Linked DNA regions of Xenopus tropicalis. The protein of the gene in region 3 interacts with the protein of the main gene of each other region in a pairwise test. Links are inferred from orthologs where the notes say so. Each region holds a gene or a part of one and is shown on either strand. Other genes may lie near its edges.

Evidence for each region.
Region 1: the proteins of sgtb (region 3) and rai2 interact in binary tests that used the Homo sapiens proteins (3 or more experiments, as listed by UniProt). The link is inferred for Xenopus tropicalis from reciprocal best matches to the Homo sapiens genes SGTB and RAI2.
Region 2: the proteins of sgtb (region 3) and txndc12 interact in binary tests that used the Homo sapiens proteins (3 or more experiments, as listed by UniProt). The two-hybrid records come from large-scale screens. The link is inferred for Xenopus tropicalis from reciprocal best matches to the Homo sapiens genes SGTB and TXNDC12.
Region 4: the proteins of sgtb (region 3) and serpini2 interact in binary tests that used the Homo sapiens proteins (3 or more experiments, as listed by UniProt). The two-hybrid records come from large-scale screens. The link is inferred for Xenopus tropicalis from reciprocal best matches to the Homo sapiens genes SGTB and SERPINI2.

What each region holds. Positions count from the first base shown.
Region 1 is NC_030678.2:95,071,874-95,079,929, forward strand, and holds the start of rai2 (retinoic acid-induced protein 2), read left to right. Parts: upstream 1-3,634; 5' UTR 3,635-3,861; intron 3,862-8,056.
Region 2 is NC_030680.2:96,545,457-96,553,514, forward strand, and holds the start of txndc12 (thioredoxin domain-containing protein 12), read right to left. Parts: upstream 5,138-8,058; 5' UTR 5,006-5,137; coding exon 4,912-5,005; intron 2,332-4,911; coding exon 2,271-2,331; intron 1,542-2,270; coding exon 1,489-1,541; intron 1-1,488. UniProt on the Homo sapiens protein: Protein-disulfide reductase of the endoplasmic reticulum that promotes disulfide bond formation in client proteins through its thiol-disulfide oxidase activity.
Region 3 is NC_030677.2:187,755,140-187,762,461, forward strand, and holds part of sgtb (small glutamine-rich tetratricopeptide repeat-containing protein beta), read left to right. Parts: intron 1-1,236; coding exon 1,237-1,341; intron 1,342-1,481; coding exon 1,482-1,620; intron 1,621-1,707; coding exon 1,708-1,770; intron 1,771-2,607; coding exon 2,608-2,645; intron 2,646-4,597; coding exon 4,598-4,681; intron 4,682-6,476; coding exon 6,477-6,588; 3' UTR 6,589-6,598; exon of another isoform or gene 6,599-6,622; intron 6,623-7,322. UniProt on the Homo sapiens protein: Co-chaperone that binds directly to HSC70 and HSP70 and regulates their ATPase activity.
Region 4 is NC_030681.2:112,974,401-112,982,430, reverse strand, and holds the start of serpini2 (serpin I2), read right to left. Parts: upstream 4,926-8,030; 5' UTR 4,910-4,925; intron 4,443-4,909; 5' UTR 4,417-4,442; coding exon 4,152-4,416; intron 2,099-4,151; coding exon 1,868-2,098; intron 1-1,867.

The DNA.
Region 1 (8,056 bases), on a different chromosome or scaffold from region 3:
ACACCATAGGCCATCCATCACAGAATAAAGAGCTGATATTTAAAGTTATTACAGTTATTACCTGAAAAGAGTTGGCGCACAGCTGCTTTACCTTTCCAGGCTTATTATGGGGAAGAGTGTTAAATAGTGTACTAAAATGTAATGAGTAGAAATGTTAAACACACACGCAAGCTATAATAGCTTTGTATCTATAGCTGCCAGCATGTGCAAATTAGAAAACCTGTCCCATTATGGCTGCAACCTAGTACAGTTATAATCTTTGCCACATTACACTGTCTGCAAATAGCAAGTATTAATTCAGCTCCATAGGGGCATTACCTACATCTCAGAGCACAAGAAGTCCTGTGAAATTTGCCTAGTTATGCTGCAAAATCCACATTTTATATAATATTTTACCATTGTATTTTTTACAGAAAATACCAGTGAATTTCCACACAATGTATTGTGCCATTTTTATTACCATCTATTTGCCTAAGGAAAACCAACTCCATTACAGGACCTCCATTACTTATGTAAAATAATACTGTCCAATCTGCAGCCATGCAGTTGTATAGGTGTACTTAAAAGTGTAACTAAAACATAAACTGCCCAGTCCTACTTATAGAAAATTTAAAAAGGTTTTTGCCCAACCTCCTCTAATAATAGCCCTACCTGGCTAATATATGCCAAGACCCACCGGTCTAATAACCAATACCAGTCAATCAGCGAGTATTATTTACTTGCTACCTGTTTTAAAGTGGTTGCCGTGGGTTACTAGACTTAATAAATGACAGATTATATCACATGATAATGTTAAAATGTATCGAAAGGTAAATGCCCTGTCAATGTAACACTTGATTATGTGAGGTCTCAGTAAGTGGAGCCTTGATCATCTGGGTAGTGGGATTGATGATTGCTGCTATCTATTATAGCGGATTTTTACAAGTGTTTTTAGATGTATATGTTTTTTATGAAATGGTTTCTTACTTATGGTCTCTACTGTAAGTGTTGAGAAGGTCTCTGGCTGTTTACAGGGATAACTTATTATTATTAAAGCCATAGAGGACACCCACCTCAGAGGGAGAGCCATCCAGACCATCATCTTTATTTGTTAAGCCAGCTGGTTTTAGGTAGTTCCATAGAGCTTGTCTAAGTTGACGAGAGATGAGACTAGGTCAGCTAGTTAAGAAGTTTGGACTCCACAGAGAAGATAGTGGGGCCAACACTACAGCGGGCACTCCTCTAGTACAGGGTTAGGACTACTATAGTCCTTGTAAACTGACTCTTTGTGCAAAACACCCACTAGCTGAGGAGGGCCCCTGTGAAGAAAAGATGCAGGGAGACACTGTGCACTGTTTTCTTGTACTGTTCCGTAATATCATTTGACACTCTGAATAACTAAGGAGTGTTGAAAAGAAGCTAATATCAACCAACTGTGAATAAAGTGTTCCTGCGTTTAGTTGTAGAACCATATGAAAGAACCTTCAGTTCAAGGGTAATCATGTTGGCTAGGGTCGTATACATGCAATAGCCTTTAGACTTATGTCACACAAAGGGCTTAGTAGCTGCTGGTTGTTCTGTACATACGGTTTTGGGTTCTCCCAGCATCAGCAATCATAGAAAGAAAATCTCAAGAAATGTTTGCATGGGAGGCAAAAAAACATACAACTTAAAGGACAATGAAAGGTTAATATAAATTAAAAGTAAGTCTAAAGGCATTCTTTTTAAGTACTTACTGCAAATCTAAATTCCCAGATCCCTGCTTGCTTCTCTGAGATATGGTGCTGGCAGCCTACAGCAGTGTGAAGACTACAGTGACATCACTGAAATCTCTTTTCCCTTCCTGTAGGTTGCCAGCGGCAGCCTTCCTATTCTCTGAGCATGTAACTTGATCCTGTCTGCTGTTCTGAGCTACACATGCCCACCAGCCAATCAGAAGCGGATCTGGCAGAGGGGAGGGGGGAGGGAATGAAACACATGTGCAGTATGAAGCAAGGAGGGAAAGGAAGGGAGAATACCTGTTTAGAGATGGCTGCCTCTTCTAGAAAATGTGATGTAAGTGTGACTGAGTAAATATTTGATTAGGTGAGCCAAAAGTGTGGCGTTTTTACTAAACAATAAGAGGACTATTGGGCAGTATGCTTTTTAAATTTTGACTTGCATTCTCCTTTAACTTAACTTTCTAGCAAAACATCACAATGCCTGTATTGTGTTGTTGACCTGTTAAATGTGCCATTTTAAAGTGGTAACTTGCAGGTTCCGATACAAAACCTGTAAAATTGTTTCTTGCTAGATTTAATAGTAAACAGCAAAACTTTCTCACACTCTCTGCTTGCCTTTTGCCCCTGTTAATACCCTGATATGTTTTGCAGTCAACCTTTTATATAATTTTTCAATATTTACAAATGGTTTATACCAGCTCACCATACATAGGCACATACACATTTCATTTTGGTGCATTTGTTGGTCTGAGGTTGTTGGTCCCATGAATGAAAAATATTTCTAAAGTCTCCATAACCAACAGAATACATTTCACCAATACATTCTGTTCAATTAAAAATTAAAGATGCACAGAGCCCTGATAGAATATAACAACCTGCCTCCTTTCTTTATGTTTTCTGATACTGATTTGTTAAGATATGCAAATAGCGGAAATTTATGGGTAAGGCGTTAAGCCAAACAAAGCAATATACTGTGTAGGAGGACATGATGTACGGGAGGAAATAAAAGGCAGAAATAGCAGTGCCATTCTGCAATGCATTAATAAAATGAAATTGTGTGCAGAAGACAAAGATGCAGAGGGATGTTCAGTGACAGGATGACAGAAAATAAATGCCACTATCTAACAGCAGCAGGCGTTGAATGATGGGAGACTTGCTGAGGGTGGGTGTCAGTGTTAAATCAGGGCACCCAAAGGGAGAGAAGCTATACAGAATGTATACAATTAATGTGTGCCATTTTAGTAGTAGTGTTTCTAGAAATGATTGTGCATGTAGATATACTGAGTGCCACAGGAGCCCCTATACCCCCAGGGCCCAGGACCTGCTCCCAGTGTCGGACTGGCCCACCAGGATACCAGGAAAACTCCCGGTGGCCCCAGGTGTCAGTGGGCCGTCCTGCTCCTAACCATTTGGCATGTTTCATAGTCATTCCCTATTTCTGAAGGAAAACAAAGTAGAGAAATAGATGGAGGAATAAATCCTAGCATGTAAATAAAAGAGACTAGGAGAATAAGGAGGTTGAGTGAGGAAAAGGGGGGAAAAATAGTTTGGAGAGTGGGCCTATGGTCTTTTCTGGTGGGCCCCTGTGGTCCCAGTCCCACACTGTCTGCTGCCAATATAGTTTTGCCCTCCTAGTGGTCCTATATATCCCCAGACTGCCTGTAAAGCTAGGGGTGTTCTTCGGCATCATTTAGGGTTCGAAAGGTTTGACTTTTACTTTGTAACTAAAATACCCTCTCCCCACCTGTAGGAAACTCTTAATAACCCTACCATGCCTCATGGTAACATATCAAATCATTGCATATATGATCTAAAATGACTGCTAATCTGAGGCGCACAAATTGTGTTGCACAGGTGCCCGGTGAATCACTAAATTACACTTATAATGGGATATACTGGGCAACGGTGCAGAAGCCAGAGAAGGAAGACAGGCGCATAACAGCCGGCCCACAGCTTGCCGGGCGGTGCCACTGACAGACAGGAGAGGGAGGAGCTGAGCCCACAGACACCCAGCGCCCTGCACTCCTTGCATCTGCTCTCTCTGTACATGGAGCAGCAGTAGCGCCGCTAGGCAGAGCGACATCCCTACCGGAGTCCAGGGTTCAGCTCCAGTTTAGTGCCAGGAGGAAGGATACTATTGCCAGTGCCAGGAATTGGGCAGGTAAGAGGGCGCAGATCCTTGGAACCGAGCCATTTGGAGATTGAGGATGGCACTAGTGCTTAGGCGCTGTTACAGAAAGGCAAGCACCGCACAGCGTAATCATATATACATGTATAGTGGCGAGATATGTGGGGCAAGTAAGGAGAGCAGCTCAGAGCCGTGCCATGGGCGGGGAGGGGGGAGGTTATGAGAGGATACAGGGATGTGTATAGCAGGTCTGTCCCTTCCCTGCTGTCAGAACACACAGCCATGGAGGCTGCTGCGGGGATCCTACTCCTTACCCTGGATCCTCTCCAGCAGGAACAGCTCTGCCTGTATGTTCTTGTGCTGCTGGGATGGCAGGCTCAACCAGCCTCTCACACACATGAACAGATTATGTTATTGACATGTAAAACTGTTGTACACATTTCTTCTTTTGCAAGGTATATTCATGGGAAACATTTCATCTTTTGAGGGGGCAAGCAGAAGCCCTCAGCCAGTTGTACAATTATCCCAACTCTGAAGGCTAAAAATTGTAGTTTACCAACAACTGAAGGATTGCAAGTTAGATAGATACATCAGTAATGCCTCCTATGTATCTATCTATCATCTATCTATCTATCTATCTATCTATCTATCATCATCTGTCATCCTTCTATCTTTCTATATGTGTCTAAATAACCATTTGTCTTAATGCATATGCATTTTGTAAGTATATATTGCATTTTGTAAGTATATATATATATATATTCATTCTGTTTATATGTCTTCCCTTGTCTAATATACTGTGATCTATTCTATGACCATTGTAACCAAAATATCACCTTGACTTATTTGTCATTTCCAGTGAAATATGCCTTTTTGTGCATTATGCAGCTAAAAAAAAGGGGCAGATTTTCCTAAATTAAATGTCATCGCATTTTCTGTTTAGACTTAAGAAATGTTGCCAAACAGCTGCTGCCTTGTGTTTCACATGCACAAATCCCAGGGGTCATTTTCTTTCCTTTATTTTTTGGCTAGGCAGATATATTTGGTGGCTCAGTAATGAGGAGGGGGTGATTCGTCCCTGCTGGAGAAGGTGGTTTCTATCTACAGAGTGCTTCTTTGGATTCATAGGGTTTTTTTTTCATTTTTAAGATATTTTATTTTCAATAAGACTATTTACATTTAGACTACAATCATGTAGTATCTCTTTAATTGAGCGCAAGGGAGCGTGATAAGAGCAATGAACCGTCCTGTAAAGCTGTGACAATGCCATGCTGAAAAGAGAGACAAACACATTTTTTTCATAGCATTCATATAATTATAAAAATATTTCCCCATTTAAAATGTGAAGTGGTTAAGTTGTGACAGATGTATTATTAGCAGCAGGAGCCAAAAATCAATGCTTTGGCGTTACACAAGAAACTATTGTATTCCACCTTAGTATTTGAATAAAAATAGGTGGGAGGACCCTTTAATTATAGTCTGACAGGGCCCAATTCAGATATGTCAGATGGAGCTGCATGCTGGAATGAAAATGTTATTTTCCATTGTCTTTTAACAGCAGATGAAAAGCAAAATGGAGGATTCTCCAGATGGAGCAGGGCTGTAGTTTTGCACATATATCTCTTTTTCTGTAAATCCGATCTGGTCAGAACTGTTTTGGCTTCCATTGTATTGCTCGGAAGCTGCCTGCATGTTAAAGTAATAATGCATTCATGCACTTGGGTTTTTGGTGGCCAAAGGACAGGATGCGCGGGACGCACAAGCAATTATTTCAGCCTGGATGGACTTTCATGTCTTTGGGGTGGTGCTGTGGGATAATTTGATGCTGGATTTTAGGAACTCACATCTCTAATGCATAATGCATGGGACTTACAAAACGACCATCACACAGGAAACCCTTTTACAGCCAAGTCTACAATTAACCCCTTTAGCATTTATTATTCTTTTTTGTTTTTTTTTTTAATTAATAATTAGTTTGTATTTATAATTTTATTATTTTTAATATCAGAAATTCTAAGTATCAGGGACCTTATTTGCCATTGATATGAGGTTTGGGAAAAAATATCTTTGTTTGGCCACTGTTATTCGTAATGAAAAGAGAAGCCCTGCATTAACACAGTGCTGGTCTGACTCTTATATATTTTTTTTATAAGAAAGCTATAAAGAAAAGTAAAATGCATGGGCCCAGAGAACATTATTTATGTGTTTATTATATTTTAGATGTATTTATTTATGTGGGTTTTTAGGTCGCTTTTCTGCACAGCATTCCTTCACACCAATGAAAGTGTGCCCCTGGTGGCCAAATGATTATGGAAAATTTAAAAATACTAGCCTTTTCTCTATAGGTAAAGATTCTATTATGTGAAATGCTTGGGACCTGGGCTTTTCCAGATAAGGGGTCTATCTGTAATTTGGAGTACTGTTTCCTAAGGTATCTAGAAAACACTGAAACATGCTACTGTACGTTGTTACTGTGCAATACGGTCTATCATCCTGCTGCATGAGTTATACAAAGTGCAACTGTAATCTCAGTGTATTTATATAAAACACCAGCATAATATAGATTTCATATGAAAGATACAGAAATGCCTGTTACTCTTGTTTGTTTTACCACCCACTTGGTATGCAAGCCCAAATTGCCATTAAAGCTTGTTAAGAAAATAAAAATCCTTAGGACCCAATTTCCTGATTTTTGATGATACAGCAGCCAGAAATTCCCAGCACAAGTTTATCAAGTAAGGTTGCTGCAAGCATGCATGCCTTGGTGGGCCTAAATTCTCAGGTGTCTCTAATACTAAAATATGGCATCCTAAAGGGCAACTAATATATTATTAAAGATGGCTGATCTTCTTTACTATCGTCAGTGATGCTTATCTAGCATGTGACCCATCCATGCTTATTATAATTGTATTAACCCTGACTGTTTGGAGACAGGAATTGATTTGCACAAAGACTGTTGTAACTGCACAAAGATATATATATAAAAAAAGGTAAAAAGTGTAGCCACTAATATCTAATGTGAAATTCCAAGTTTCAGCTTAATTCTCTATGGTATCTGACCACTTAGTTTGCAGCAGGGTTGGATACATTACAAGGTACACCATGCACTGGAGACATGCTGTATTGGTAATTTACATTTTTATTGTACCCAGTGCTTTATTTAGGCATCGGACCTAAGTGTACCCCCAAGCCTGCGATCTGCGCATGTGTGTGACGTCACATCCAGTTGTGTGTGACGTCACTTCCAGCAAAACTGCATACCTATGAGCTAGGTACCACTCACCCCCCCAGCTGGAGAGATTTTTTTCCTTGAAAAATATTTATTTTATCATGTAGGTAACTGAGGGCTACCCGTTTAACTGCTACCCTAAGCACGGCCCCTTGGGTGCCTTTATATAAATCTGTCCCATGAATAACATAAATGTTTGTTTGATACAATTTTATAGCTACATGTATGGCCAGCTTAAATCTATCTCCCATAGAGTCCATTTTATGCAAATAATTCAAATTTTTAAAAATGATTTAATTTTTCTGTGTAATAATAAAACATAACCTTGTACTTTATGGTAACTACTGTAAGCTGCATGCATCCATGGCAATTGCAAAACAATCCTGCTGGGTTTATTTAATGTTTAAATGTTATGTAATAAAAAGCTTCCAGGAGCAGTAACCTATAGCAATGAATTAGAAGGTAAAATCACCTGCCTAAAACCAAACTTATTGATTGCTATGGGTAACTGCTCCTGAGCAAATTAGTGCCATTTATTAAATATAGGGGCAAAGGTATGGAGATCTAGATTAGGAAAATAACCCCAGATCCCAAGCATTCTAGTCTATAGATCCTATTTATGTACAGCTATATGCAAAGGAAAAGGGTTTTTTAAGCCAGGCAAATATTGTAGAACTTTCTAATTTAGGGATTGCTCTCCAGATGCTGAAGTACATTTCCAGCTCTCCTGCCAGCTGCCAGCTAGTAATTGTACATCACCAACAACTACAACTACCACCATCTTGCCCTACAATGCCAAGCACAGTCCAGCCCCAGATACTATTATCTTAGCTACTACCTGCACTGTGATTCTTGCATAGCTAATATGCAGTGCTGTGTGGATGCTAGCCAGATATTTCCTATCTAAAGCTGTCAATCTGCATGTCCATCCATGCACAAGACCCTAGGTAAATTCTCTTCCTTGGAGCCTCATAAATACAGTTCAGAAAAAGCACATTT
Region 2 (8,058 bases), on a different chromosome or scaffold from region 3:
CCTATTTACTACTCAGCACTTAAACAATAAAAAAAAATATATATAATACAAATAAAAAAAAAAAAAATACGATCACAGAGTTCCTTTAACAATGATGCACACATGTTGCTTGTGTGTTTCTTATGTACAGATGCACCTGACCTGGTAATTCAATATTCAGCCAAATCCTTGAATCCTTAGGTATAGATTTGGGCAAATAATGAACCAAACCCAGAAGTGGAAGATCCCAAAGATGAAGACGGAAACACTGGTATGCATGCGAGGCACGTGCAGAATTTGTACTTTTTTTCTGATTTGGTTCAAACAGGCTCTTGGATTCAACCAAATACAAATCCTGCAAAAAAAATGGCCCAAATTTGGCCAATTGCACACAGAGAGATTTGTTCCTCTTGGTTAAATCTATGCTACAAATCCCATGAACATGCTTTCCCACCAACAATAATGTAAATCATACAAGTTACTTCTGCTTTCCGAAGTTGCCTCGCGAGAAAACTTTGGGTGACTTTGGGAAAACAAAGCGTTGTGCAAGTTTTCCCACTGTTGATTTACATTACTGCCAGCAGGAAAGCATTTATGGGAGATTTGTCACCTGGGGTAACACAGATTAAACCATGGGTGCCAAATGACCTTAAAGGAGAAGGAAAACAAAAATCATTGGGGGGGTGCCAATTTGTTAGACACCACAGAGTAGACTATAATTGCTGAACTCCTACCTTGGGCTGGTGCTCCACTTTTTAAAAGGAACAGTATATCTCCTTTTTACACAATGGTGCAATGAATAGAGCTTGTGCTGAACATAATTAAAAGAATATGCAAAAAGAAAGAAATATCTGTGTTTTTTGTTATTCCACACTCTAAAACGGACAAAACTTGAAAATCTAACTAAAACCACATTCTACTTCCTGATTTTAAGGGCTCTGGCACACGGGGAGATTAGTCGCGGAAGTTGCCTTGAGAGGAAACTGAGATTTCATTGAAATCGCGCCGCCGCGTATGCCATTCCACCGGCGATTTACATTTTCGCCGTTGGGATGGCATTTCGGGGAGATTAGTCGCCCGCGAACAGGGAGATTTGTTGCGGGCGACTAATCTCCCCGTGTGCCAGAGCCCTAAAGAGTAAAGTCAAACACCAAAGAATCTCACTAATAAAAGACTCTTTGTAATGAGCTACTCTTTATCTAAAACAATAACAGTCTGTAGCTGGGGCAGGGGGGTAGTAATACAGTGGGCTCTTTAGTGGACTTCAGTTAGTATAAATTAGCTCTTTGGGATCATGAAGTAAAATGTGGCTTTAATTTTATTATCAAATTTTGTCCAGTTTGGAACAGGCAAAATGTATGTTCAGCAAAAGGCCTATTCATTGCACCAATGTTAAAAAAAGAGGATATACTGTTTCTGAAAACAATGTGAATGTTAAGTAGGGGGGTACAGACACAAATAAACTAGTGCTCACAAATATTAGATATTATTTAATTCAATGTCATTTACCTTTGCAGGCTCCACACCATGTCTTGTGGATCACTAGCATAAGAGGTAAGCCACTGCAAAAAAAAAATACATTAGACACACATTCAAATATACACACAAACCAGCAATGTCATTCACATATGTCATCTGTCATTTAAAAGGGCACACATGCCACACATGCCAAAATGGTTACTTTTAACCAAACTGACCTCTCGTGGTCATGTGTGGGTTGTAAGTGATTATTTTACCGACACAGTGTTTAGGAATGGAGTGTGAACCAAAGGCCAAAAATGCTGACTCACTAGGCAGTTTTTACTCCTCAACATCCACTGTTTTAATTTGCATGGCTTTTAGCAAATAATGACTGAAATATTTTGGCTGCCTCATTTGTGCTCTTTGACGCATTGACAATTTGGTCTGGCCACCTGTGTGTGAATAACCTAAAGTGGACAGCGGAGTCAATGTGCACATATTACAGCACATAATGAAGATAAAATGTACAGGCTCAGTAGGGAGTGCAAGACGTGTATGTGTACGAAATTTTTCTGACAAAGAATAAATCGATATAACTGGATGCAAGATAGCGGCTGCAATGACTGAAAGAATTGGTCAATATGATATCCCGATAAATGTGTTAAACAGCAATTCTGCTATCAACGACTACAACATATGGGGAGGCAGGAAGGGTGAGGTAATCAATTGACCTTTCCCTGTTCTTTAAGAAAATGGGGCTTAGAGGGAATGTTCTTTGGGGCTCTAACTTTGGATGACTTTCCAGGTCTGAGATCCAGCAAAAAACTTACCCAGCAGCTGCTTCCTTCTTCCCATCTTCCAGAGTTCTCCAATGGATATGATCCCCAAATCCTGCGACATTTAAAAAAAACCAAAAACTATATGAATGAGATACAGCCAACACTGTCCTGGTCAATTTTAATATCAGGCACTGTATGTGTTATAAAAAGTTTAAATAACATGCCTGTTAACATGAATGTTGCTGCATATGCTGGACTGTTTATGAACTTGGGACTGATAGAATTACTACATATGATGATTATTTTATATGGCAAATAAATCATGAGCCTTTTGTACCACAATATGATTATCTTTACTTTGATACATTATTTTATCAATTTCATGTCATTACTGCAAGACATTACCAGAATTATTCACCCCTTTATTGCCAGCGTGATATAAGGCACTACCCCTATAACAGCTTATTTCAACCTTGCGATTTACATAAAATTAATAATTAAAATCTCTATAGATCATTAATACAACTAAATGAAAAACTTTGTTTGTCTTCTTTGTTTCATATCCGCAGTAACCTTTACTTCCAAACCATCAGACAGGTTTTGTAGAAACCTGAAACACTACTACTATGAAATGAATGTTGAACTAATAAATCACCACAGTGCAAACACATAAGTCCTATGTGTTATAGAAGTTAATTAAATCTGACAGACAGGATGGCATCTGCCTTATTTAGATGCTCTCTTTCACCTTGAGTGTGCTGCCAGCTTGTGACTTTTCTATATACTGAAATATCTGTGCACACACACACATATACATATATATATATATCTCTAAACCCAAGTTATTGACCTTTTCAGCAAACAAATTATGGTACACACACAGCTGCAAAACACTACAGATCAAATAGGACATATTAACTATGGTAGAACCAGTTTTCTCATACCATAAAAACAAACATTAAATTAAGTGTCTATAATCAACTGTTAATCCCTTTAGCATTTAAGAAAAATTACTTATAAATAAGACAAGACTTTACGAGTTTGGCCGTGATAATATTGATATTAATGTACTGTGTGGCTGCTGGAGATACAATGCTCTGCACATATTTGAGATCTCTATAATGCTTATTTTTGGTACTCCTTTAACCCTGAATGCCTCTTAAGCTGGCCATACACATTCCAATGACATTGCATAAAATGTTTTTTTATGATTACTGGGGTGTGTATGGCAGATTGCTAATCCCAACGATATTCATGGATACTATGGATATAGGTTGGATTTAGAATTGTTATATTCTTATACACCATGTCTGCCAGTGCACTGCCAGAAGAGGAAATGAAGCAGAGGGCCACAGACACTCTTCACTTCCTGCTGACCTGATGCTTAAGGGTAAGCCCCCACGCAGCAACTTACTCACCCGCAATAGATCGCTGCTGTAGAGGTCGAGTAACCGTTCCGAAAAGGGTTTCCACCTGCAACAATAGAAGTCGCCGGTGGAAAGCCCTTTGCATTGCTTCAGTTTCCGAAGTCACGATTAAATGTTAAAATAATATATAAAAAAATATGTTCGCGTTTTTGAAAGACGGATTTCAATGCAGTATTCTGCTATAGAAACATGTTTTCCCATGACAGTATTCCTTTTAGGTCCAGTAGCATTCTATATGATTTTTATCTCACCTCCTTTTTAGTAATGTTTTGGCAGTGGGTGCCTGGATTACACTTATGGTGGAACAGTGTGTTGACCTATATTTTCCCTAGTGGAGCTTTCATTTAAAGGCAGTGGAGGTTATTTATCAACACTGGGCAAATTTGCCCATGTGCAGTAACCCATGGCAACCAAATTGTTGCATTCATTGTTCTACCTGCAGCTGGCAGTAAAAAGGCAATCACTGATTGTTTGCTATGGGTTACTGCCCACGGGCAAATTTGCCCAGATTTCATAAATGACCCCAAGTATGTTTATTTCTCCTAATTGCATGCTGGTTCTAGATCAGTGTGGCAGAAGCCAGCCTTGAATGCTTCTTTCCAGGTCTGTTAATCAGCAGGCTTCTGCTACATTGTTACAAACGTCAGAACCATCAGGGAAGAGAACAGAAAGGGACAGAGATACACTGCTGTAAACAGCAGTTGTACTGATGGATAATAACAAACACTGTAATAAATGTAAATTAGAAAATTACTTACAATTACCAGGTGGGGAGAGAAAAATTTTAGGATGTGCTGCAAAATTCTGTTTATTTAACAAAGATAAATACAGGGGGATGGGGTAAAATATAATCAGTATCACCAACAAATCTGCAAATGTAACCACTTAAATTGTTTTTACATATTTCTTAAAGAAATCCAGCAGAGGAGCAGCATAAATCAGCCCTGCATAAGGGGGACTTGAAAATCCTAAAATAATTAAATATTTTTTTTTCACAAACTAAGCTGTGCTTTATACTATGGAGTACATATTACAAATCAAATGAATGCATTTTCTGTTTAATGGTCACACCATATGTGACACACATAATCCCGGAAAAATAACCTTAATAGTCGTGAAACTCTCTACCGTTGACTACCCACATCTGACATCCAAGACCAGTTTTCCTTTAATAAGGACACTACACACCGCCCCACGTTACACTCCAAAATTCCCAGAAAAACACAAGCACATGCACATTTTCACAGAGCCAGAGAGAGAGTTACCTCGACCAAGTCCTGTGTCGGCAGACGCAGGGACAAGAAACAGGAGAAGACACACAGAGAGCACAGCTACCCCAGCTGCATTAAGGTACCGCATTCTCAGCAACCACCCGAGTCGGCAGGCACAAATGAAGGAACTTGCACTTCAGGTACGTGTACCTCCTATCAGCCAGATGGATGTATTATACCACGTGACGCTGCAGCTCGTCATAGGCGCTTCTACTAACAGGAAGTGAGGATGCTTGGAGGGCGGAAGTTCCTAATCCAGGAAGGTCACAGGAATTAGCAGGTAGTGACAGAATAAACTTTGATTAGAAGAAGGCAAAGTAGACTCATGTCGCTTGGGCCCTATGTCACTTTAAAGATGTCGTATAATCTACTTTCAGGCGGCACTTTTAACTCTGCTTTACATCCTTTCCGTAAATGCTTGTGTGGTTCTTGACATGACAACTATGCCTACCAAGCTTGCCAGCCCCCCCCCCCCCAAAAAAAAAAGAATCTTCGGCTTCTGGCTTCTAATATTAGTATTTGCAACTTCCCTAGTGTAACATGCTGCAATACTATTGCACCACTGATTTAACACTTTGGAATGTCAAACTACCAAACATCATGGGGCACATTTACTAATCCACGAACGTCCGAATGCGTTTTTTTCGTAATGATCGGTATTTTGCGATTTTTTCGTAAATTGTCGTGACTTTTTTGTAGCCATTACGACTTGCTCGTAAATTGTCGCAACTTTTTCGTAGCCATTACGACTTGCTCGTAAATTGCCGCGACTTTTTCGTAGCCATTACGACTTGCTCGTAAATTGTTGCGGCTTTTTCGTAGCCATTACGACTTGCTCGTAAATTGTAGCGACTTTTTCGTAGCTGTCGTGCCGAGTATGAAAGTTTCGGATTCATTCAAGCTTCAGTATCTAGACTTTCCTTGGGCCAGGTTGGAGCTGCAGAGTGCCATTAAGTCCTATGGGAGGCTTCCAAAATCATGCAGTCTCAAAGGTTTGCCCGCCGTTTACGAGCGCTCAATACGAAAAAGTCGTGACAATATACAAGCAAGTCGTAATGGCTATGAAAAAGTCACAACAATTTACGATCAAGTCGTAATGGCTACGAAAAAGTCGCAACAATTTACGAGCAAATCATAATGGCTACGAAAAAGTCACAACAATTTACGAAAAATCGCAAAATGTTTGTTTCCAATCCGATTTTTTCCCATTCGGGATTCGGATTCGGGGATTAGTAAATCAGCACCCATGACTGAATTGATGAGAGATTGCTCTAACCATTAACCATGTTAAAAAAGTATACCTATTTGTAAAACAGTTTGGATGAGTTTTTATATTTGTGACAGGTGTAGGGGTTTTTTCATGCAGGTACTTCACATATATTTAGAAGGTGTATACTTTTTTTTTAGGTTATACTTAGTATATATTTATTTACTTTTAAGTAAGTCAGGTTTATTGTTATCTCAAATTATAGTGCCCTCAACTTCTTGTATCAGTTATTGGTTGCATGCCATGTAAATCTGTATGCTCAATGTAAACACCCCTATTTGACAACAATGCAGAAAATATTTGCACTTTATAAATACACGTTAATAAAATAATAATTGTAGTGCTATTTAGTATCCATGTATCCCTGAAATATATGATTATGGGTCCAGTGTTTTTCCTCCAATGGGTCTTTACCACAGCGTAAGAAAAAAGTCGCGCAAGCGCAAAAAAATCGGCTTTATCAGAAAGGTCTATGTAAATACAGCCATAAGCACTCACAGAAACGCTGCACTGAGTCCTCTATCAAAAGAAACACATGATGTCTTGTCTCCATTTTTGTAAACATGTTGTGTGGGTGTCTGCTCATAAAGGCAGCGGCACACGGGGAGATTAGTCTGCCGCAATAAATCTTCTCTATTGCAGGTGACTAATCTCTTCAACATGCCATCCCACTGGCAAGAATGTCATTTGCTGGTGGGATGGTATATGCATCGCTTCAGTCACCCGAAGTTGCCTCACAAGGAAATTTCGGGCTATTTATGGCATGTCGGGGAGATTAGTTGCCCGCAAAAGTGAAGATTTATTGTAGGCAACAAATCTCGTGTGCCACTGCCCTAAAGCCCAACTGGCTATTTAGTATTATGGTGAAGACACGCAGAGCTCATAGTAGCAGCTACTAAGGGCAGTGGCAGACAGGGAGATTAGTCGCTATGATCTTGCCGGTAGGATGGCATTACAGGGAGATTAGTCGACTGTGGTAACGAAGATTTATCTCGGGCGACTAATCTCCATGTGTGTCACTGCCCTAAAATAGACATTTACTGATAATTTTCTTTACATGTGTTTTAACAGAGCCAATTTTTAGTACTTTCTATCACAATGTATTTTCTGGAGTTTAGTAGGCATGAAAAAGTAGCTGCTACTAGTATCTCAGTGTGCTTGCCAAATCCAGGCTTCTCTTTGCAATGATCATTTTTAAATGCTAATACCCCCTTTCTGATTACACAGTTTACAAAATGTAGAAACAATAACTGTTTTGCCCTTTTATTTTTTGTTCTCCTTTTGGTCATCTTTTTCCGGATCAGAATTCCTGTGCATGCCAGATATTTTGGTAAACCTATGTACATCATCAAACTATTCAGCCTACCCCTAGTACTGCAAAGTGCAAGCTTTAGGTCATTTCCAGATATGTCTTTAAAACTGTCAACTTTAGGAATGCTTTGCAGTTTGCTAGTTTAGATGTATTTACCCATGTTGTATTTGAGAGAATTCTCTTTCAGTGACAAGGGGTAGCACGATCTAGCAAAGGGTTGTCACCTAGCCAGTATTTTTAAAGGATGCTGAGGTACACTGGCAGGCATGCAGTTTTAAATAAAGATGGAGAAAAAGATATTTGGACTACTGGCACAATAATTAGCCATGCAACTTCAACGCTTCTTTATGCAACCACCAAGCCCGGAACAACGCCACAGATTAAACTACAACCTACAAATGACATCGCTCGTTGATGACGGATACGTCAACGTGAGCTGAACTTGCCCGTCCTTCTACGTACGTTACGGCCCTCCCCTCTCCCGCACTCGCCATCTTCCTTACCGCGTGCTGTCTGTAGGCCCTTTAAGCTAGGTAAGTGGCTACTGGCTCTCCTCACACGG
Region 3 (7,322 bases):
GGTTCCCCACCGGTAAGTGATTTTGTTAATCTAAAACTTAAAACTAAGGATGTACTTTATGTGTGTTACTGTAAAACTGTGTGTCTGTGTGTTTTTTCTGCATACTTTCCTGTATGCTACTATAAATCTTGAAGCGGTCTTTCATAAACAAGACTGCGCATGTCTATGAAAGCACGCTAACAAGCCTGGACATGTTGGAATCAGCTATAAAATATGCCCGGATACGGTACCATTTCCAAAAATATTTGTCTGGGCATGCCTTTGATATCCTCCTGTAATATTAATCATAACCGCTAGGTACCGCTAACATAGAGGTTCATAAACGTGTTATTATGGGTCTATAATGCATTACCATTTTATAACCACATGGTGGCGCTCACACAGCACCATGTATGGAAGGGTGCCATTTCACAAAATGGCACCAACTTACCAATGCATGGTATTGTGGGTAACACACAAAATGGCGGACCATAATCATAAAATGGCGGCTGCGCAGTGGGAGGGGCAATACTGCGCAATGGGTGGAGCATAACACAGGGGCATTATGGGTACTACTCAAAATTGAGTCTCAAAATGCCCGCTGCGCAGTGGGCGGGGCTAAATGGTGGCTCAACATGGCCATAATGCACAGTGGGCGGGGGTAACTGGTCGTCTTGTCTATAGACACACCCATAGCTCCGCCCACCTGTCAAGTTGACGTTTTAAATGCCTATACACTACTCTTATCTCTAGTGTTTACCCCTAGGTAAGGTGGGTTAGGGTTCAAGTATGGCTTGACCATTGCAGGTTTGGGTGTGGCTCGGACTGGGGAATAACATTCTTCTGCTCCCGAACTTTCCCTGTCTTGGAACCTAAGGCAGAAGCAGAAGTAGCGTACAGAGCAGAAAGATGTGGGTACAGGTTGGGTACGGGTCAAACAATGGCAACATTGTGTGGGTTAGTGTCGGTGCAGGTTGAGTTTCTCCTGACCCACCCAACACTAGTCCCAATCCTGTGTATAATCCATTTGCCACCTGTTTATTTTCTGGATCTTGACCATGCCCCCTGCTGGCTGGCTGTCACCACTACAGTAGGACTATGGGAAGTAATTGATTGTGACCAGGCAGCAAGTGAATAAATGAGACTAACAAAACTGTTATAAATGCTATACATGTGTTTCTTTTACTGTTCCTTTTTAAAACTAACAGCCAGCGACTTAAATGGCCATCTGAATTCTCTCTGTGTGCACTTTTGCAGAGCAGCAGCACAAAGTCAGAGAGGAAAGCACAGTGAAGCCGTAATGGACTGCGAGAAAGCCATATGCATTGATCCCAAGTACAGCAAAGCCTATGGAAGAATGGGGTATGAGAGCTACAGAACATTAGCTTGTGATTCCTGTGGGTCTGTGGTAGCACAGGGTGTGTGTGAGCTTGCACTTACTCACAGTACATATATTACAGGGACATGCCTCTAATACCTTTATTATTAATATTATCATGCAGGCGTGCATTGGTTGCTATGTCTAGGTACAAAGAAGCTATTGAAAGCTACCAGAAAGCCCTGGATCTAGATCCTGAAAATGAATCATATAAAATGAATTTGAAACTAGCAGAACAGAAGATGAGGCAGATCCCAAGCCCTGTAAGTAACTCCCTTACTCAGTGTATAATGATGATGCCTGCTATCAGCCAATACTATAATAACCCTTTCTTGCTTTATTTCTTGTAGATCAGCACTGGATGGGGCTTTGATATGGCCAGCCTGATGAACAACCCTGCATTTGTGAGCATGGTAAGATACATTAAAGGGCAAGTACAATCTGGGCTCAGCAGACTCAAGTCATAAGACTGGGGTACATGTAACTTGGTGCATGCCATAATAGGTTCTAATTTCATGATCCATAGATATCAAGGGATTCTACATAAATACAAAGGCTTGTATAGGAGGGCGTGTTTGGTGACTTTAATTGGACTAAGGGGACCTAAAATGGAGATGGATGTAGAAGTATCTGTAGGTAATATTCTCATGTATAAAGCAATGCCAACTGCAGCAGCTAGAAACGGATGCAACCTGCAGCAGCTAGAAACGGATGCAACCTGCAGCAGCTAGAAACGAATGCAACCTGCAGCAGCTAGAAACGGCTTAATACAATCCTGACTCTCAATATGAGAATGTCACTCTTTTAAATAAACCAATTCAGATCCCAACCTTAAACATTCCATACGGATTTGGTTTCCTGCATGCAGAAACATTTATAGATGTATAAATCCAGGAAAGGGCGACTAACAACGAAGGGAAAGAAGATCTCACTTATAAACATAGGAGGTTGGTCTATATAAGAAGAAAATGCATAAACTCTTTGCTTGGCCTACATTGTTACAGTAGACTCGGTTGAATAAATGGCTTTATAAGCTAGTACTCTCCAATACCCTGCCCCTGTTATTTGTGATGCTCCCAAGGTCGGGGCAAAGATTGGAAAATAGCAACTGGGTCTCTTTAATATCAGTAGCCTTGTATCTTTTCACTTTATAAAAAGGCAGATAAAGCCTGCTGATATAAATGGAATGTATCTGTATAATTGATTATTCTAAATAATCAATAGTACTTGTATTTTGCAATTCCTTCCAGGCAGCCAGCTTGATGCGGGATCCCCAAGTACAACAGCTGTGAGTATATGCATCGAGTGGGTTATGAAGCTATCAGTTTAAGCTAGATCACTTTGTGTAAGGGCAACTAAACCTCCGAGGTATAGGCTTATATTGACAATATTAATGCACGGAGCTTCTGTGCCAGTTCCCAGATACATAAATCCTATATATACTAAGTTTTGCCCCAATTTTCTGCCATTTATATCATACTGCCTGCCGGCTTGCCTGCATTCCCTCTCTCTGATGATGCCAAGGGCATGCCTAAATTACCATGTTTACATCATGGAGCATCAGCCTGGGCCAAAACACTGCACAGATGCTAAGCCCTATGGGTCGGAAAGGAAATGGTGCCCACAAGCCAGAAGGTCTGCGCAGCAGCAGATAATGGTGTAACTGAAGCATTACAGCAGCCCCAAGCATTAAAAGTGACTATAAGGGCAAGGGTACCCAGGGCGTTTTTAAGTTACATAGTTACATAGTTACATAGGGTTGAAAAAAGACCATTGTCCATCAAGTTCAACCCATCCGAGTAAACCCAGCACACAACCTATACTAACCAATCTATACACTCACATACATAAACTATATATATACAACCAGTAATACTAACTGTAGATATTAGTATCACAATAGCCTTGGATATTCTGCTTGTTCAAAAACTCATCCAGGCCCCTCTTAAAGGCATTAACAGAGTCTGCCATTACCACATCACTAGGAAGGGCATTCCACAGCCTCACTGCCCTCACCGTGAAAAACCACCTACGCTGCTTCAAATGGAAGCTCTGTTCCTCTAATCTATAGGGGTGACCTCTGGTGCGCTGATTGTTTTTATGGGAAAAAAGAACATCCCCCAACTGCCTATAATCCCCTCTAATGTACTTGTACAGAGTAATCATGTCCCCTCGCAAGCGCCTCTTTTCCAGAGAAAACAACCCCAACCTCGACAGTCTAACCTCATAGCTTAAATCTTCCATCCCCTTTACCAGTTTAGTTGCACGTCTCTGCACTCTCTCCAGCTCATTAATATCCTTCTTAAGGACTGGAGCCCAAAACTGCACTGCATACTCAAGGTGAGGCCTTACCAGGGACCTATAAAGCGGCAAAAATATGTTCTCATCCCTTGAGTCAATGCCCTTTTTTATACAAGACAGCACTTTATTTGCTGTAGTAGCCACAGAATGACACTGCCTGGAATTAGACAACTTGTGATCTACAAAAACCCCTAGATCCTTCTCCATTAAGGATGCCCCCAACACACTACCATTCAGTAGATAGTTTGCGTTTATATTATTCCTACCAAAGTGCATAACTTTGCACTTGTCAACATTGAACCTCATTTTCCAGTTTGCTGCCCAGTTTTCCAATTTTGTCAAATCGCTCTGCAAAGCGGCAGCATCCTGCATGGAACTTATAGTTTTGCACAATTTAGTGTCATCAGCAAAAATAGAAACAGTACTCTCTATGCCCACCTCCAGGTCATTAATAAACAAGTTAAAAAGCAAAGGCCCAAGGACTGACCCCTGCGGTACTCCACTAACCACACTGGCCCAATTAGAAAATGTTCCATTTACCACCACTCTTTGTACTCTATCCTTCAGCCAGTTTTCTATCCAATTACAAATATTATGTTCTAGGCCAATATTCCTCAAATGCGTTTTTTAAAAATGCAAATTGGAGTGTACACATACACATAGGAAGCTCCAGCATGGGCCCTGTATATTATCTGCCTCCCTGTAGGCTCCATGCTGGATCTTTATTGCCGCCTTACTCATTACAGCACCAGGTACCTCCACATGGAGGATATTGTACAGCACTGTACAGGGCAAGAATGATGGCACCAGTAGCAAAGAAGCTCCCAGGCAGCCAGAATTCTCTGAAGTTTTAATTCTGAGGGTGGCACAGCAGTGAGGGATAATGCAGAGCGTGACAGAATAATGCAGAGGGTACAGCAGGGTGTTTGTGCATTGCAGGATGTCTGGCATGATGTCAAATGCAGCAGTCGGACCCGCTGCGGGTGTTGGTGGATTAACAGACCTCTCAAGTCTAATACAGGCGTAAGTAGTTGCTTTATATGCTGTAGACGCTTACTGATAACATGTTCCTTACAAACAGTAGGGAGAATGGACAAGAAATAAGTAGTCGCCTGTTTCATGCCCTAACATTATATTTAGCTTGGGCCCGATACCAAGTAGCAAGTTCAATCCAATAACAAGGATGGGATAAAAACAGCAATAGCATGGAGTCAGCAGTGGCTTAAAGGAACAGTAACACTAAAAAAATGAAAGAGCTTTAAAGTAATAAATATATAATATACTGTTGCCCTGCACTGGTAAAACTGGTGTGTTTGCTACAGTAACACTACTATAATTTATATAATAAGCTGCTGTGTAGCCATGGGGGCAGCCATTCAAGCTGGAAAAAAGGAGAAAAGGCACAGGTTACATAGCAGATAGCAGATAACCTCTGTAGAATACAATAGTGTTTTATCTGTTATCTGCTATGTGCCTGTGCCTTTTCTCCATTGAATGGCTGCCCCCGGGGCTACACAGCAGCTTATTTATATAAATTATAGTAGACTTTCTGAAGTAAACACACAAATTTTACCAGTGCAGGGCAACAGCACATTATATTTTAGTTACTTTTATACACTTTCATTTTTTGGTGTTACTGTTCACCAGGGCAATAGTACATACTATATTAATTACTTTGATTTACTTTGATACACTTTCATTTGTTGGTGTTACTGTTCCTTTTAGACAGGACTAGCCCTTCAAAAGTCTTTATTGCAGAGGTGCAAAGTTTTGGGGCAAAGTGACTTTGCCCCAAAACGTTGCACCTCCGCAATAAAGACTTTTGAAGGGCTAGTCCCGTTTGCAGATGAGTGCCAGTGCTTTTTTTGCTATTTGGATTTTTGGGAGGGTGCCGATCCCCGCCAGCAGTGTGCACCAAGCGCTGAAATTTGGTGGAGTTAAGGGTGTGCGAGGAAGGTCTTTTTGTTCGTTTACTGTTCCTTTTAGACCCTGGGCTGCTGCTCCCCTTGTCTGTAAAACATGGCAGGCAGGGTCCTGTTTGAGTGAGTGTTGCACCTCCATCCTGTCTGATGCCCCAGTGGCTGCCCTGGGCGGGGAACATGTACAATAGAGGAAAATCCAAACTTTTACTCAGCATTCCATGCACATTGGACAGGACTGCCTCAAGGTATCCCCAGACAAGAGAAAAGATTTCAGGGTGGCACCCGGGCCCAGTGCATGTTTCAGTGAAGAGACTCCTTGTCTGAAGTTAGGGATTTTTATCACTGGGGTACCCCAAAGTTGCTTTTTATTATTTAATGAGCGCACTTTCTGCGTGTTTAGATAAATGTGCCCCCTATGTGAAAGTGTATGAAGCCACAGTAATGATTTAAGGGCTTAAGTACATGGGAGATTTTAGTCAGATTTTGTGGGTCAGATTTTATCTGAGCTTGAAATTTGTAGAATCCCCTAAATCTGATCCTCACAGCTAAAAAGTAACGATGGATCAGATAAAGTTGGGTGTTGGGTTTTGTTCCTGCATCTTCATCCAACAGTCAGTCAGTGTATTTCAATGAGAAAAAAGGATATTTACAAGAGCATCAGATTTTATCTTGTCAGATGCAGCACAGCGTTCCCTTCAGGCAAGCGGGTCACATCGGATAGCAAATGTTCCATGTAGTTTACACATCAGATTTTCCAATCAGTCCCGTTATTTTTAATCCCATGCAACTATATCCGAATTTTAGTTGTAACTTTGGGGCCATAAGCAGTTACCGTGCTGAGTAGCCATGAAGCTGCTGCCATTGCCTGGGTTATAACACGTGGTGCTTTTTATTAGGGGGCAGCAGTTTGCTCAGCAGATCCAGCAGCAGAACCCAGATCTGATACAGCAACTGAGGAACCATGTGCGGAGCAGGTCATTCAGCGGCACAACAGAGGAGCACTCTTAAGGCAGAGCAGGCACGTCATCATTTCCACATTTGGGTATTTGGCTAATTCCTATGATATTTGCTAGATTTTATCTGTGCCTTCAAAAATGCTACCATCAGGCTTTCTATTGCTGATTCACAGGACTTACTCTTACAGTCATTTACCTGAGTCGGATGACAGGATATACACAATATACAATTTATGGTACCAGGCTGTTCGGTAATTAATTCACATTGTATGGTGACATAGACACCAGTGCATTCTGCATCTCAGTTGATTGATTATTAAGTAATCAGCTTCTGTGACAGATGTCAATTTCTGCTACAGTTTACATAACTGTGCACTGAGCATGTACAGTGTCACTGACACTTAAAAGGGAGCCTAACAAGATTCAAGATGGGGAGTTGCAGTGAACACATTTGAAAGCCTGGATCATTAACTAATACAGGTATCGGACCCCTTATCCGGAAACCCATTATTCAGAAAGCTCCGAATTACGGAAAGCCTGTCTCCCATAGACTCCATTATAATCAAATAATTAGGATTTTTAAAATTGATTTCCTTTTTCTCTGTAATAATAAAACTGTACCTTGTATTTGATCCTAACTAAGATATAATTAATCCTTATTGGATGCAAAACAATCCTATTGGATTTAATTAATGTTTTATTGATTTTTTAGTAGACTTAAGGTATGAAGATCCAAATTACGGAAAGACCCCTTATCTGGAATACCCTTGGTCCCGAGCATTCTGG
Region 4 (8,030 bases), on a different chromosome or scaffold from region 3:
AGGCACAATGCACTAATGAGCAGAGGTTGCTGCCAGATATACAGCTGTGGAAGCTCACAGCAACCTCTCCTTGAAACACTCCTTATTGAGTCAGGCCAGGAATAAACCAGGCAATATTTCCTCTAAGCTTTGCACTTGTGCACGAGCACACAAGTTTTAAGACGTGCACACAATAAATTGTGGTGCGCCCAAAGAATTTCATGTGAAAACACACAATTTTGTGCTGCACACAACTGCACGCATGGTTTTAAAAAGTGCGCACAAAAGAAATTAGAGGCAACATTGATACCAGGGATTGTAAAAGGTGTCAAAATCCTTTGATTAGATCCTAATTCAACTTGCCACAGCATACATGGGGCACTCAGCAATACTGTGTGCACATTCCTACAGGCTTAGCATTTCATAATGACTGATGTTTAGTTTGATCATTATGATGAATGTGTTGTGATACCTCCAGAACACTGCAGTACAAAATGATTCAATAAAACTTAATAAAATCTTTTACGAATACAAACATTCATCAGATGAGGCAGTGGGACTATGCAGTAATAGTCTAATTGGAACATATTCATGGAAGATCATAGCTCTAAGTTGAGGGGCGTGGGAGGGAGGCTATTTAGTCACTCAGAAGGTAATGTGAGTATTAGAACGAAAACTCACTCCATGTAATTCTGTAGCAAATCCATATTCTTTTCAACTCCGTGTTACAGTACTGTATATTACACAAAACTGTACATATATTTGCTGGCTCCAAATGCTAATTTGCATTCTTTTTTAACCTGGGATCATGTATATAGCATTATACACCACGTTAATACCATGTAACATCCCACAAAGCTAAGTTTAGATTTCACACACATGTAGCTGTGTAAAATTCTGGTTTAAAAAGTGTTAGCTTGGAAATTTCTTTAGCAATCACAAGGGATTTTCTGCTCAGTGATTCACTGCAGTTGAAAAGGACTTGCAGCCAGTCACAGGGAACCTTTTTTTTTTACTTCTATTACTTATTTTGTTTATTAATGTTGAGGAATTTATAGCTTGGTTATTTTTTATGTTTCGTGTCCTCTTTGTTTCTGAGTTGAAAAGAAAACCAAGGACTAGAGCTGAACCCAAAGACAGCCCTATTTAAAGAGGGTGCCAATATGTTAGGCAATCCCAGTGAAAAGAATCGTTAGGTTTATTCCCCAGAATGATGCTCCTGTTTGTGTGGGGGGGGGGGGGGGGGGTTGATTTGCATGCTTTGGCACTGTATTGTGTAGTCCTGTTATTGTAATCCAATTGTTTGGCCCTAGGGCCATATAACTGGTCAGCCTGACATTGCCCACCTTAGGTGGGTATTTCAGGGGAAAGATTCATTTTGGCACCTCTCCTATAGGGTGGGCAATAAATGGAGTGGGCAATAAATCAGCCACAGCAGGTACCTGCCCCGTTTAGCTCAATATCTAAGTGGGTGAGTAACTGATAGTTACAAATAGGAGGGTCTTTTTGTCATGTCATATAAAGAAAAAAGTCAGAACGCCCATCATTTGCATTGCAATTACAAACCAGCTCAAAAACATGTTTATATGTACAGTACTTCATTATTATCTGGTGTTTCAGTTCAGATATTTTTTCTAAGAATTACTGGTTATTAGATTTAAACACATAAAACTTGGAAATGTTCTTTGTTACGCGTCCTGAATATGAATTCCCCTCCTGCCCCTCTGTAGAACTTTATAATACATCAACTTTGTCAGTAATTGTTTGTCTTGTATGAACAATTTACTGTTGTCTTGTAATTTTACTTCTACTTCGTTTGCTAAAAAAATATCTGACAAAAGGGCCCAATTACAAAGACAAGTTTAGCAGAGCAAAATGTTGAGATTACCATGTGTTTGCCTTTGCACCCATTCACTTATTGTTTCAGCAGAAGCCTTTACATCTTGGAAATCCACCAGCTTTATTGCACTGTTGAAGACATCCCTGTTGCTATGGAGATACTGCTCCTTCACTTGAAATCCTTCTTGAAGGTAGAGGGCATTTGCTAGATTAAATGTAAATTCTTTATTTTCTTCAGAGATGACAGCAAGAAGCGTTTTTAGCTCAGAAAACTCCTCACCTAGAGAAAATGATTTGTGTTTTAGTGCCTTTTAATGATCAGCATAAACATAACGAAGGTGTAGGATGCTCTTTTCCAATCTAAAACCTAGTACACAATTTGTTTTCTTGCTCTCACCTTGACATGAGACATTTCCAGCAGGCTTTTTCCTCCAATTATATTATACAATGTGACAAAAAAGTACCCAGGGTTATTTTTATGCTAAACGACAACTGCTTCCATAAGAACTACAGGAGAACAATAAGTTATTTGTTTTTGAGCAAGTTTTTAATTAATCCCCACCAAGGAGTAAGCATGATATTCCAACCTTGTAAACATTTCCCTGTTAAAATGGGTTTGTATAATAAAATGGGAAAGGAAGATAGATACAGTACAGAAAAATATTGTATTAAAAAAAATGAATTGAAATTTAACTTGTTTATGTATGTTTGTTTGTGTGTGTCACAACCAGTACTGACTGACTAATCATACTGACACGACCATCAGGGGACCACAGCATGTCTTAGGGCCACTGGTCTTAGTGCATGGAGTAGGCATCAAGGAAGAAGCTCTTAAGAGAAAGGTTTAAATACAGGAAGGCAGAAGAAAGTCCATGGTGAGGCACAGCAAGGGTAAATACAGCACAAAACCAATAAACAGGAAACAGGTCAGAACTGGCAGAGTTCAGGCAGGCAAGGGTTAATACAAGAGAGGAGCATAGAAGCACCACGTGTAAAATGGCCAGTGGGAATGGGACCTACAAACTGGCAACAAGCATCAATGTCAGTGGGCTAATTGTTTGGATTTGCATCATGCAAAGCTTTGTGCTTGTCCCAATGGCCCAGTGATGCGACTGCCCAAGTGCCAAGCCAGTTCTGACCCATGCCAGATACGATATTATTGGTGCGTGTATGGCCAGCTTTACTTATGAGCCACAGTCAAATGTAAAAAGACTTGGAGAGCAACACAAGCATCATAAAAGTTCATGGAGGTGCCAAATAAGGGCTAAGATTGGCTATTACGTAGTCTCTATCCACACTATCAGCTTACAGGCTTCATGTGGTAGTAAACGTCATTTTTATTCAACCAAAACTTGCCGCCAAGTCAGGAATGTGAAAATAACTACCTGGTTTGGGGACACTGGGAGCAACATCCAAGGGGTTGGTGAGCAAAATGTTGCTAACGAGCCACCGGTTGGGGAACTCTGCTTTACAATGTGAATGGCAGACTCTCCTATCGATCATCAGGAAACATACCAAAGTCCATTTTTATTTCAGTTCTTATGTTTTCAACTTTTCAAAACTGCCCCTTGCTACAACAACAAACTCTCTGCACCTACCGAAATATATGTGGTCTGTTAGTCCCCTAAATAAGGTTGTTCACATAGGAAGGCTTGTTATACCTTAAATAGAGTGTTTGCATAGGGAGGATAGCAATCTATTAACACCCTATTCTTCAAAGCAAAGTTTCTTATTCTTCCATTTATATCTTCATGTATTTTTACATTGTAACTGTACATGGCAGCTTTATCAGTGCGATGTTACTGAGTATTTCAGTGTGTAATCTCACAACTCCTTTGTATCAATTTTAGACAACATTGAGTTTCTTGAATGTGAACTAATATAGATGTTGACATAAAGTCCCAATCCCCAGATATCTGAGAAAGTTAGCAAGGCTCCTGAGTGCCACCACAGAAAACTAAAATATAAGGACATATAAACTGTTATTGCTAGAATATAGTAAGCCAATTCAAAGGAAGTATTCCATGGACACAGTGTTCTTTGTTCTGCATAGAGAAGTTCCCCTTTCAATTTGTGGATGCATTCAGCTATGAATGATATCCTGAACAAAAATGATAGGACGACATAATGGGTTACAGACATATTCCCACCTTTCCCCTTCATCCTTCATGTCTGTTTTATTCTGCTTTATTTTTTTGGACATTAACCCCATTGGTGTTGGAGAGACTGGACTCAATATACTGTTCATATCACCAAGCACAGATTAGTTTTATTTCACCTGCACAATAACATGGAGGAATTATAGATTTGGGATCAATAAAAGAAAGACTCACTGTCTTGATTTCCCTGTAGTTTTAAAGCTTGCTGTATCTGACTCAGTGCTGCTCCTCTGGCTCCCAGTTTTATCATTCCAAGAATTAAAGAAGTTCCAAGTGGAGAAAAAATGATGTTTTCTTCTGTGCAACTTGAATGAATTGCCCGAGACAGATCCACAGCCAGTTCTGTAATAGCATCTCCCCAGAGCCTGGAGGCATTGCAAGTTATCCAAACTCCACAAAGGGTCACGGCGACGATCACGCCTGGGTAGAGTCTTTTCATTGTAACACAAAGTACTCTTTTGGGCTCTAAAATAGAAAAACTTCCATTACAGAAGACATTACCATAATATCATTTTCCTCCACTGCCCACACACAATATGATTCTTGGCGTGCTAAATTCCATACTGGTTTAACTAATAAATGTCGCACAGGGGGAACGGTACACTATTTCATTTTCTCCTACTGTTTCCCCGCGCACTAATGATATTTATCTTGCTTATTTATTAAAAGAACAAAAGTATTTATACACAGTAGTTGGAGTCAGGTTTCAGGGACTCCATGTGCTCTCCTAATTATATAATAACATAAACTACACAGATTGCAGTAGTCACAGCAATATTTGTAAATTACCTCATTTAAATGAGCACACTTGAAATGAGCTAATAAAAAAAGTAAAAACAAAACTATGCTATTTGGCGCTTTTTAATTATCTTTAAACTTTTTTTTTTGTCTTCAATTTCTTACACTTATTTTTTATCTTAAAGGGCACTTACATGAAAAACAGCGGCGTATTTCCCCTGGCAAGAAAAGTAAATGTCTCCGAAAGCTGAGGGAGAGCAGGTATAGTACATTTAATCTGTCAGACGAATGATTAATTTTCTAAATGCCAGAGTGTGTTTGTTGACATTGCTATCTCGAAACTTTTGTAGCGCACTAAAAACACTATGTTTGTTCACTGAGCAGCAATGGATCAAACTGGCATGGCTGCTGAGTCGGCTTTCATTCACAAACTGTATTCATTTCTTGCCTGTAATGTCTAAAATTCTAATGCCTGGGACAGTCAGCATAGTATGCATTCTGATATGGAATACATAGTACAGTTAACTCACCAATGATGTTTGCTTATTCTATACATTTGTAACCATTAGAAATTTCTTTGTGGTTAGCAAGATGGATATAAAGATCAAAAAATGCCCATATATTGGTAGATAGTCACTGCTGATTGGTCACTTTTGACTGAGTTGGCATCTGGTTGGATCATGTATTGGCCTAAAATGATCATCTTGCCATCTGACATGCGATTGAGGCAGGAAAGAAAATTTAATAAGGAAAAGACATCAACTAAACCTGCAGGGGCCCCCACATAACCTTGTATCAACTTTGTTAGGATCATCACTCAAGCCAGCACGGCTGCATAAAGCCAGCTGAAGTTTGTGTATTTTGAAAAAGTCAAAACTGATAGCTTGAATGTGCCCCTGTCGGAAGTGGTTACTGGTACTGCTTACCAATTTAACATATGTACAGATACATATTACACAAGTCGAAGCATAGGGAACCAAAATAAGATGTTACAAGGCTGTCCCTCAATCCTGACTGTCTGCTAAGTCCAAACATCCAATACTTTGCTTATATCAGTTGTATGGCATTTGGCTCTTCACACAGCTCTATACAAAACCACACGTAGTAGAGTGCATCTTGTACTTTCAAGGCGATCTTCATTCCAATGTTCAGGTCGTAATGTAGATACAGTGCACTGCCAATATCCTTAGCCCCCTCAAAAGAAAAAGACGAAAACCATGCCAGTGGAACAGGCACTGGAGGATAAATAAGATGTGAATACACTTTTCACAGACTCCTCTCCTAGGTTATTCCGACTCCCAAAAATTTAGAAATCTACAACAAATAATTTAAAATTATTAACTATTACTAACAGTAAAATTATTTGGCCAGGTCGGGTCACGATGCACCTGGGAGAAGAAGGCAAGCCAGGCGTGTGTGTGTGAATCTGTGTGCAGATACAGGTGCGTGTGCACCCAAGCTCTCTGAGTCGAGTCGGATTAGGCATGTGATGTCACTGGCACGTGCCAAACCCGACCCAGCATAAAGAGCTAAGATGCAAGCCTTGCCTGCCTTCTTCTCCCTGGTGCACCCAACCGGACCCAGAGCACACAAAAAGGAATATTAAAAGATTGGGAAAGAGAAATCATTTTTAAAAAAGCTAGATATGCCCCTGATCACACTTGGCCTCTGGGCTTTAGTCTAGGTAAGCCTAGGCATGAATCTGTCCCTGGGAACAGGGACCTGTATCTCATTTGGGATAGGACTGCTGCTACAAGAAGTGGTAAAGCTGTATTATGTAAAAATAATCCATTTACAGGGGCTGTTCACCTTTGAGATAACTTTTAGTATGATGTAGAGAGTGGTATTCTGAGACAATTTGCATTTGGCCTTCATTTTTTATTATTTTTATTATAGTTTTTTTATTTTTTTCATTTCGGGAACTCTCCAGTTTGGAGTTTCAATAGCAATTTGGTTACTAGAGACTGGTATATAAATAGGAGAGGGCCTGAATAGAAAGGAAAGTTACAAAAAGTAACAATGCCAACAAAACTGTAGCCTCACAGAGCAATAGTTTTTTTGCTGCTGGGGTCAGTGACCCCCATTTAAAAACTACAAAAAGTTGGAAGAAGAAGGTAAAAGGCCCATCTGTCCCCCGTTGTGTGGCCCCCCCACCTTTCTGGCTGCTGTGACTGCTTACCTTTGTGTAAGCTTTAAATGATATCAGTACTGAGAATAACTGGCCCCTGCATTGCTCACACCTCAGATTTAAGCTTTAAGTCCCTGTATTGTTAAAACATGTAATCCCCTGTACTGTTCACACCTTTTAATCTTTGCATTGTTCACTCCCTGCCTTGTTCACACCTCAGGCTCAGACTGTAAACCCCCACATTGTTCACCTGTTCACACCTCATACAGACTGTAGGAGCAGTGACAACATTGTGTCACTGTATGTACTACATACCCTATGCTGCCTGTGTGTATGGCACACAAAGGCAGCATAGTGTAGGCAGAGCATGGCACACACAGACAGCATAGGACAGGCAGAGTATAGCACACACAGGCAGGGTAGGGCAGGCAGAGCATGGCACACACAGGCAGCATAGGGCAGGCACAGTATGAACACACAGGCAGCATAGGTCAGGCAGAGTATGGTACACACAGGCAGCATAGGGCAGGCAGAGTATGGGACACACAGGCAGCATAGGGCAGGCAGAGTATGGCACACACAGGCAGAGTAGGGCAGGCAGAGTATGGCACACACAGGCATGGTAGGGCAGGCAGAGTATGGCACACACAGAGTGAGCCACACACAGGCTGTACTCTGCTTGCCCTATGTTGCCTAAGTGTGCCATACCCTGCTTGCCCTATGCTGCCTGTATGTGCCATACTCTGTCTGCCCTATGCTGCCTCTGCGTGCCATACTCTGCCTGCCCTATGCTGCCTGTGTGTGCCATACTCTGCCTGCCCTATGCTGCCTGTGTGTGCCATACTCTGCCTGTCCTATGCTGCCTTTGTGTGCCCTATTCTGCCTGTGTGTGCCATACTCTGCCTGCCCTATGCTGCCTGTGTGTGCCATGCTCTGCCCTATGCTGCCTATGTGCCATACTCTGCTTGCCGTATGCTGCCTGTGGGAGGTGAACCTGGCAGAGGTTTGTTTTGAGAGTTTTTAAGCAGTTTTAAATAGCTGCTGAGTTATCCACTGGGGGGGAGGAGGCATATGGATTTAAGTCTCAATATGACATAATATAATTTTTTTCACAAATGAATGAAGGGTAATATTCCTACAGTGAGCACCAACCATTTGGGTTTTTGCTGCACTACCACCATTAGTGT